Linked DNA regions of Caenorhabditis elegans. The protein of the gene in region 1 purifies or fractionates together with the protein of each later gene. This does not show direct contact. Each region holds a gene or a part of one and is shown on either strand. Other genes may lie near its edges.

Region 1 (3,922 bases):
AAACTCTGCATGACAAGCTCACGCAAATCATCACAGAGTTCCCGAAAATGGAGGAAATTCATCCATTCTACTCGGATCTTATGAACATTCTCTACGACCGTGATCACTACAAAATCGCTCTTGGACAAATGAACACAGCTCGTCATTTGATTGACGGAATCGCCCGTGAATACGTTCGTTTGATGAAGTACGCCGACTCGCTTTATCGTTGCAAAATGCTCAAAAGAGCCGCACTTGGACGTATGGTCAAGCTGCTAAAGCGACAAAAGTCCAGCTTTGAATACCTCGAGCAGGTCCGTCAGCATTTGTCTCGCCTTCCAAGTATCGATCCAGCTACTCGTACTCTCATTCTTTGCGGATTCCCAAATGTCGGAAAGTCTTCATTCATCAACAATGTGACACGTGCTGATGTTGAAGTTCAGCCATATGCTTTCACTACAAAGGCTCTTTATGTTGGACATCTTGACTATCGTTTCCTCAGATGGCAGGTAAGTATTAAGCGAATTTCTTTTGAACCTTGATAATAATTCACTTTTCAGGTTATCGATACCCCCGGAATCTTGGATCAGCCACTTGAGGACCGTAACACCATTGAAATGCAAGCAGTTACCGCATTGGCTCATCTGAAAGCATCAGTGCTCTTCATGATGGATGTTTCAGAACAATGTGATCGTAGTATTGAGGAACAACTTCATCTCTTCGAATCGATCCGTCCATTGTTCGCCAATAAACCAGTTCTTATTGGTTTGAACAAGGTTGACATCAGACATCGATCTGATTTGCCACCAGAGAAAGCTGCATTGTTGGATCAACTGGAGAAGGAAGGAATTCCAATTATTGAGACATCTACACTTACACAAGAAGGAGTTATGGGACTCAGAGATCGTGCTTGCGATGAACTTTTGGCCCAGCGTGTTGAAGCTAAAATTCAAGCCAAGAAGATCACAAATGTCGAGGATTGTGTGCTGAATCGCGTATTCGTCGCCTACCCGGCTCCACGTGACGAGAAAGTTCGTGCTCCATTTGTTCCACCAGGTTTGGCCGCAAAAAGAGCTCAGAAGAAATTGCAAGAAGCTCAAGAGCTCATGGAGACTGATGGAGATGAGTTCGCAGCAAAAATTCCACAAAAACCAGGCAAAATTGGAAAGGAAAAGATTGCAAAGGGTGGATCCCAATCCACCGATCTTGGAGATCTTCGTGATGAGAACACCCGTCGTTTGGAGAGAGAAATTGAGTTGGAAATGCAAGATGATTATATTCTGGATCTTAAGAAACATTATATGCTGAAGAATCCTGATGAGAAGTACGATATTGTTCCCGAAATCTGGGAAGGACACAATCTTGCTGACTTTGTTGACCCGGAAATCCAGTCAAAGCTTGAGAATCTGCTTCGCGAAGAGGAGCTCTTGGAGCAAGCCGGAGAGTATGAATCAGATTTGGATAGTGATGATGAGGAGACCAAGGAGAAGTTGAAGCTTGCATTGCAAATCCGAGAAAAAGAAAAACTGTTGACTTTGGATCATGCCGTTAACAAGAGAATTGCCGGAAGAATTGGTTCACGTATTCATGGTTCAAGAAAGAGAGATCGATCAATGTCTAGATTAGAGAATGAGCTCGGAGAGTTAGGTGTAGATGTTGACACGAAGAAAATGAAGAACTTGCAAGGACAATGTGCCAAACCACAACTTGGAAAGAAGGTTTGTGTAGAACCGAAATCTATAATTTCGGTTTCAAATTAACATAATTTTTCCAGATGAAAGTGGGTCGCTCGCGCAGTCTCAGCGCCGTCCGTCCGGCTCCACGTGATGAGTTGGCATTCCCAGACGAGGAAAAACGTGCACATGTCGACAAGTTGCGTACGAAAGCAATGCGTGGATTGCGCCGAGAAGCCAAGAAGGGAGAAGCCGATCGTCACGTATACGACCTCAAGCCAAAGCATTTGTTCTGTGGAAAACGTGGAAACGGAAAAACCGATTGGCGTTAAGAACATATATATCTTTTGTTCATTTTTTTTTTGTTATTTTTGTTTTGTTATTCTGTTCGTTTTTTTTCGTCTCCCTGCTTTTTATTCCTTCCAAAAACTGTATACCCATCCATCCATTTTTACCTTCTTCTCACTGCGTCAATCGGCTTCTCGCCCACATGAGTTTCCCGAATAAAATTCTTCCTGATATTTTTGTAGATTCTGAATTATTTTTTTTCTTCGATATTGCACATTTTTTAGCATTCCGTTGAATTTTTCGCTGTATTAGAAAAACTATTTTTTAATTAACTCTTCAGATGGGCAAAAAAAGAAAGATTACGGATGAAAAGGATGCTCAACACGTGCCAGCTGAGAAACGAGAGGTTAATATCACATTTTCAAAGAAACGTAGTTCTCAAACACAAATTAATTGCAGAAAGTAGAAAATTGGTTAAAGAAATCTACGGAAAAACCAACAAGTTCACAATCTGACGCTGAAAAGAAAAAGAAACGTCCATGGCGTAATAAGGTCCGTAAACTTGCCGCAAAAAAGGCAGCAGCTGACAAGAAATCTGAAAATCCAGAAGAACCTCCGCTGATTCTCGAACCAAAGAGTTCTTCGGATGAAAATACGAAAAAGAAGAGAAAACGGGGCCCAAAAAAGAAGAAGTTCAAGCCCGAAGTTGCTGGAAAAGCTGCTGAAACTGAAAATGATGACGTGGCAGCAGCTCCAGAAGAAGCAGATCCAATTGCAGAGGCTAAAAAGAGACTTGACGCGGGACGATTCAGATTTCTGAACGAAAAACTCTATACATGTACTGGTTCTGAAGCATTTGATTTCTTCAAGGAGGATCCGACGGCTTTTGATCTATATCACAAGGGATTTGCTGATCAGGTAAACATTAATTGGTATCTCAGTTTCACAACGAAGCCTTTAAAATGATATATGTGCCATTTGAAGGTGTTCCAAGAGTATATGTTAAAGGTGGAGTAGCGCCAGTGGGGAAATTGCTTTAAAACATGCAAACATATGGTACCACAATGACCGAATATCATGATAAAAAAATTCAAAAATTTTTTCTAAATTTTATATGATTTTTTGAAAATTGAAAAAATCTCAGTTTTTGCCTAATTCCTATTTGAATTACCGCCAAGTGGATTTGTTCGATGAAGCGCGCTTGCACGTTTTTAAATTTATTTATTTTGTTTTTTGTTGTTTTCCACCGATTTTTAATGTTTTCGGTGTATTTTTGCTCGAGTTTTAGAGAAAAAGTCAAAATAAATGAAAATTTTCGATTAAAAAGCACGCTTTTCTCTAAAGTTCGAGCATACACCGAAAAGAATACACCGAAAACATTAAAAATCGGTGAAAAATAACAAAAAATAAAATAAATAAATTTAAAAACGTGCAAGCGCGCTCCATCGAACAAATCCAATTGGCGGTAATTCAAATAGGAATTAGGCAAAAACAGATTTTTCAATTTTCAAAAAATCATATAAAAGTTAGAAATTTTTTTGAATTTTTTTATCATGATATTCGGTCATTGTGGCCCCATAGGCATGTTTTAAAGCAATTTCCCCACTGGCGCTACTCCACCTTTAATGCAAAATTTTAAACGGGAAAGCTATACTCTCAACCCCTAAAATGAGCGAGAAAACTTTGTCTTGTCAGTTGTGAACTCTCAAATTTTCAGGTAAAAAAATGGCCAAATCACCCACTCCGCGAGATTATCCGCTGGCTTCAATCCAAACCGGATCAACAATCAGTATTCGATTTGGGTTGTGGAGAGGCTAAAATTGCAGAAGCCGTTGGAGAAAAGCATAAGGTTCATATAATTCCCTGGAAAAATCACATTACATTTCTCATGTTTTTTAATAGATTCGCTCATTCGATTTGGTTGCAGTGAATGATCGTGTTGAGTCGTGCGATATGTCGAAACTTCCAGCTGAAGATTCATC
Region 2 (3,922 bases), 9.6 Mb from region 1:
AAGTCTCTTGGTAAAGATGATTTCACAAAAATTCCGAATGGAGTAAACGGAGTTGAAGACAGAATGTCAGTTGTTTGGGATAAAGGAGTTCATGCTGGAATCATTGATCCTATGAGATTTGTGGCAGTCACTTCTACAATGGCTGCTAAGATCTTCAATTGTTACCCACAGAAGGGAAGAATCGCAGTTGGCTCCGACGCGGATATTGTGATTTGGAATGCGAATGCAACTAGAACTATTTCAAAAGATACACATCATCATGTGAGTTTTAGGTTTTAGTAAATTCAATTTTAATGCAAAAAATTCAAGGCGATTGACTTCAATATTTTCGAAGGAATGCAAGTACACGGAGTTCCAGAAATCACAATTTCCCGAGGACGTACTGTTTGGGCAAATGGTCAACTGAAAACTGTTCAAGGTTCAGGACAATTCATTCCTTTGGCTCCAGACTCTCAAATCGTCTTCTCAGCTGTTGACAATCGTAAGAAGGCTATGGAACCTGTGAAAATAGACCGAATTCCATATGAGCCATCGGCACTGCAGACACCTGATGCCAATGCGAACATCGTTGTGAAAGCTCCAGTCAGGGCAGCAATTCCTCCAGGAGGAGCTAGCAGCATTCAGTTTTAAATCTACTTGTAAATAATTGTTTTTTTTTTATTTTTAAAAATTCAATAAAAAAATCACTTCCAAAAAGTAACAATGCATCAAAAATTGAAATTATAACAAAAACATAACAAATCAAGCAACAATGATATTCAGATTAATTTTTCTTTCCTGCTTTTCTTTTCAGGCCGCCGACCATTCTCTTCTTTCCGACTCCTTTAGCTTTCAAAAGTGGGCGCCCTTTCTTCACTTTAGGAACTGCTGTTTTCTTTCCATTTCCTTTTTTAACTTCAGCGATTTCGTCATCTGGAACATCATCTCCGTTCTCCTGCCGTGCAGCTTCGGCAGCCTCACGAGCTCGCTTTTTGATTTGGCTTTAAAAAATTTTTATTTTTAAAGTTTTTACATTTCACGATAAATCTAACAATAAATTCGTCAGCTTAATACGCCTATAAGTGTACCTTTTAACTTTTCTGGACGACTTTCTCTCTTGCTTGAAGCTGTTGGCCAACACAATGGCCTTCTTCTCGGCTTCTTCATAATCATGTCTTGTCAACCTCTCCTTTGGAACTGGGGTCTCGAAATGTAATGGATCTTGTCCACGAGAACTCTTATCGAACTTCTTAACAAGATCATAGATCTTCTTTCTTCTCTTAGCATTTAAATGTTCTTGCTTTCCCACTTCAAATAGCAACGCTCCGATTTCCTTGTAACTGAATTCAATTCCACCTTGATCCATCTCTTCTCCTTCTTCAACAGCGGTGATCAAATCACTTTTCTGCTGGAGAATAGTTTTGAAAATTTCTTCATAAAGTGATGTGAACAAATATTCACTGATGTCTTTGTTTCCGAGAAGTTCAATGTATGGCTTGAGACAGGCCGTCACTTGCTTCTTGGTTAATCCTCCGGCTGCATCAAGTTCGTCGAGAAGAATCGAGGCAAAATGGAACTTTAGAGCTTCGTTGAAGGACTTATCTGAAAATTAATCGAAATATAATGAGAATAAAATTAACAAATCTACTAACCTGTGGAGATAGTAGTTTCCTGGAAAACTTTCCAGTATTCGTCACGGATATCCTTTTTCCATTTTAATTCGGCAAGATGAGTGAAGCAAGCTCGAACCATACGACGAACTTCCTAAAATACAACGACATTTTAGACGAAGGAATATTACAAATTTACCATCAAGAATTTATCCATGCGCCATCGATCGATATGAGGCCACTCTTTGGAAAGACTTTTCAGAAAGCACGCAACAAAGCGTACTTTTTCTTCCTCCGATGTGAAAATATTAATAAGTCCTCCAATTCTGTCAGCCAGCTCTTCCTGAAGAATCATTTTGTCTTGCATCCACATCACATAGTGAAGGCCCTTGCATAAGCGCATCAAGTCAGCATCATCGAAATCTGAATATAAACTTTTAACAATTATATGTAAGTTGGAAAATAACTCACGTTTCTTTGCGGACTGATCACGAATCCAATCGTGAAGAACGCGAAGAGCTCTTTGACGCGTAGCTGGCTCTCCGCAAGCGAGTTTCTGAGCGAAAACTACTTCGACGCTTGCCAAGTCGACATCCATTATTGGAATTCTAAAAAATAAGTAATATTTGAACTGTCTTAAAATAGAAAAGTAACAAATTTTGAAAAATCCATTTGAATAAACTGTATTGGCTTCAACAAGTATTCCAATACTGTTTTTTGAACAGAACCCCGTTTTTACTTGATTTACGGATGAAAGTAATTGTAAAATGGTGAAAAATTATTTTTATAATTTTTTTACAATGAAAGTTTTATAAAATATTGGAAAATCATTACGGAAATACAGAAATTGGAAATAAAAATTGAATGAATAAAAAAAGAATTAGAGGATGCAGTGCACTGGGGCGCACTTGCCTCCTGTGGAGAGAGCATGTGGGACGTAGAGTCGCAGAGTGAACTTGCCTAACTTTTTGGAAACTGCCAAAGAACATCTTATACATTTTCAAAAAATGTCGGTCTTTGAAAAATTAAATAATTTTCATTCGAGAGTTTCGAATCATGTATAAACAGCGATGATGCATGCATGTAAATTATCGGGGAGAGTGCCCGACAACCTCAATAAGGTTTTGAAACTATGTTGGTTCAGAAGAACATGCTTCCTAGAAGTGAAATCTTTGAATATATTAAAATTCGGATGAATTCTCAGTGAAACATATTCATATTTTTCGTTATTCCTCAACACCGAGAATCACTTCTCTCGTCATTCAAATCCCGCTTTTCAGAGTCACAATGAATTGCCGCAATTGTTTTTGCATCAGAAGTAGCTGTCCTCTCTCTCTCTCTCCCTATTTCTTTCATTCTCTTTTCCTTTTTACGCAACAAGATCGTCCTCTATTTATGCATTTATATCAGAAATGAACACGAAAAGAGAAATAGAGAGAAAGACAGTATCTGCTTCTTGGCTTTTCTCCAGCTTATTTTCTCAGAGGATGCAAAAAAGTGGGAGGAGCGTGGTTTTTGTTCAGGAAACGATAACATTCGCCTCCCACCATCCTCTTGCCAACCACCAATTCTTTTAAGATTTTCAGTTTCTACTACATATCTCTAATTCTCCAAATTTTAGATGACAATTTTATTATTGTTTACTGTATTTTTTGGGTTTATACCCTTTACAGGTATTTTGAATTCTAAAAAAGCAACTAGAATAATCGTTGAAAATTTAAGAAGTTGAAGCATGTATGCCTGGATACGAAGCTGAAAGAGATCGATTAAGGGAACATTTAGGAATTGAATGGATCCAAAATGGACTCTCAAAATCAGGTAGGATTTTTGAAAAGGCTGTACTTTTTGGTATGTCGTTAGCTCAAGAAAACATGAATTTAGGCGATAGTGAATCCTGTGTTTATTTTCAGAAATTTCAAATTTCAAAGGGTAAATAAATAAGTACAATCGTGGCGAGGCGCAATTAGAAAATAAGTGTGTGCCTTTAAATTTACGTTTTACTAATTTACGATAGATATATGAGAAAGTTAACTGTGGTTGAGATGAGAAACAAATTGGAGCTTTTCTATGTGTTTCTCTGTTTTAGTTGTGCGGAAATTGGTTTGGATTTTTAAGCCTATCCCAGCTTAAATTTAAAACTAAGACTTCTATAGTACCTGCCTGCTTTAGAGCAGCCAGCCTACTAAATCATAAAACCAAAAAAAATCACGAAGACTTTGCCAACTTCTAATGTTTTTGTCCTACTTTTGTAGCAAGTTCAATAGACACGAGTAAAACAGTCAAAGGAAAATTCCAAGTAGGCACAAGTTAAGGCACAAGGCAGGCATAGGTGG

What was found.
Region 2: the proteins of rrp-8 (region 1) and rrp-1 fractionate together in Caenorhabditis elegans (co-fractionation; one large-scale study listed by BioGRID). This does not show direct contact.

The regions. Positions count from the first base shown.
Region 1 is NC_003282.8:394,265-398,186, forward strand, and holds the start of rrp-8 (Ribosomal RNA-processing protein 8), read left to right. Parts: upstream 1-2,280; coding exon 2,281-2,346; intron 2,347-2,399; coding exon 2,400-2,858; intron 2,859-3,657; coding exon 3,658-3,789; intron 3,790-3,842; coding exon 3,843-3,922. Other genes in the region: nog-1 (Nucleolar GTP-binding protein 1), read left to right, coding at 1-488, 540-1,697, 1,754-1,984.
Region 2 is NC_003282.8:9,980,080-9,984,001, forward strand, and holds rrp-1 (Ribosomal RNA processing protein 1 homolog), read right to left. Parts: upstream 2,198-3,922; 5' UTR 2,188-2,197; coding exon 2,061-2,187; intron 2,013-2,060; coding exon 1,789-2,012; intron 1,744-1,788; coding exon 1,632-1,743; intron 1,582-1,631; coding exon 1,068-1,581; intron 981-1,067; coding exon 764-980; 3' UTR 655-763; downstream 1-654. Other genes in the region: dhp-2 (Dihydropyrimidinase 2), read left to right, coding at 1-261, 310-630; mam-2 (MAM domain-containing protein), read left to right, coding at 3,211-3,262, 3,312-3,407. UniProt on the Caenorhabditis elegans protein: May be involved in the generation of 28S rRNA.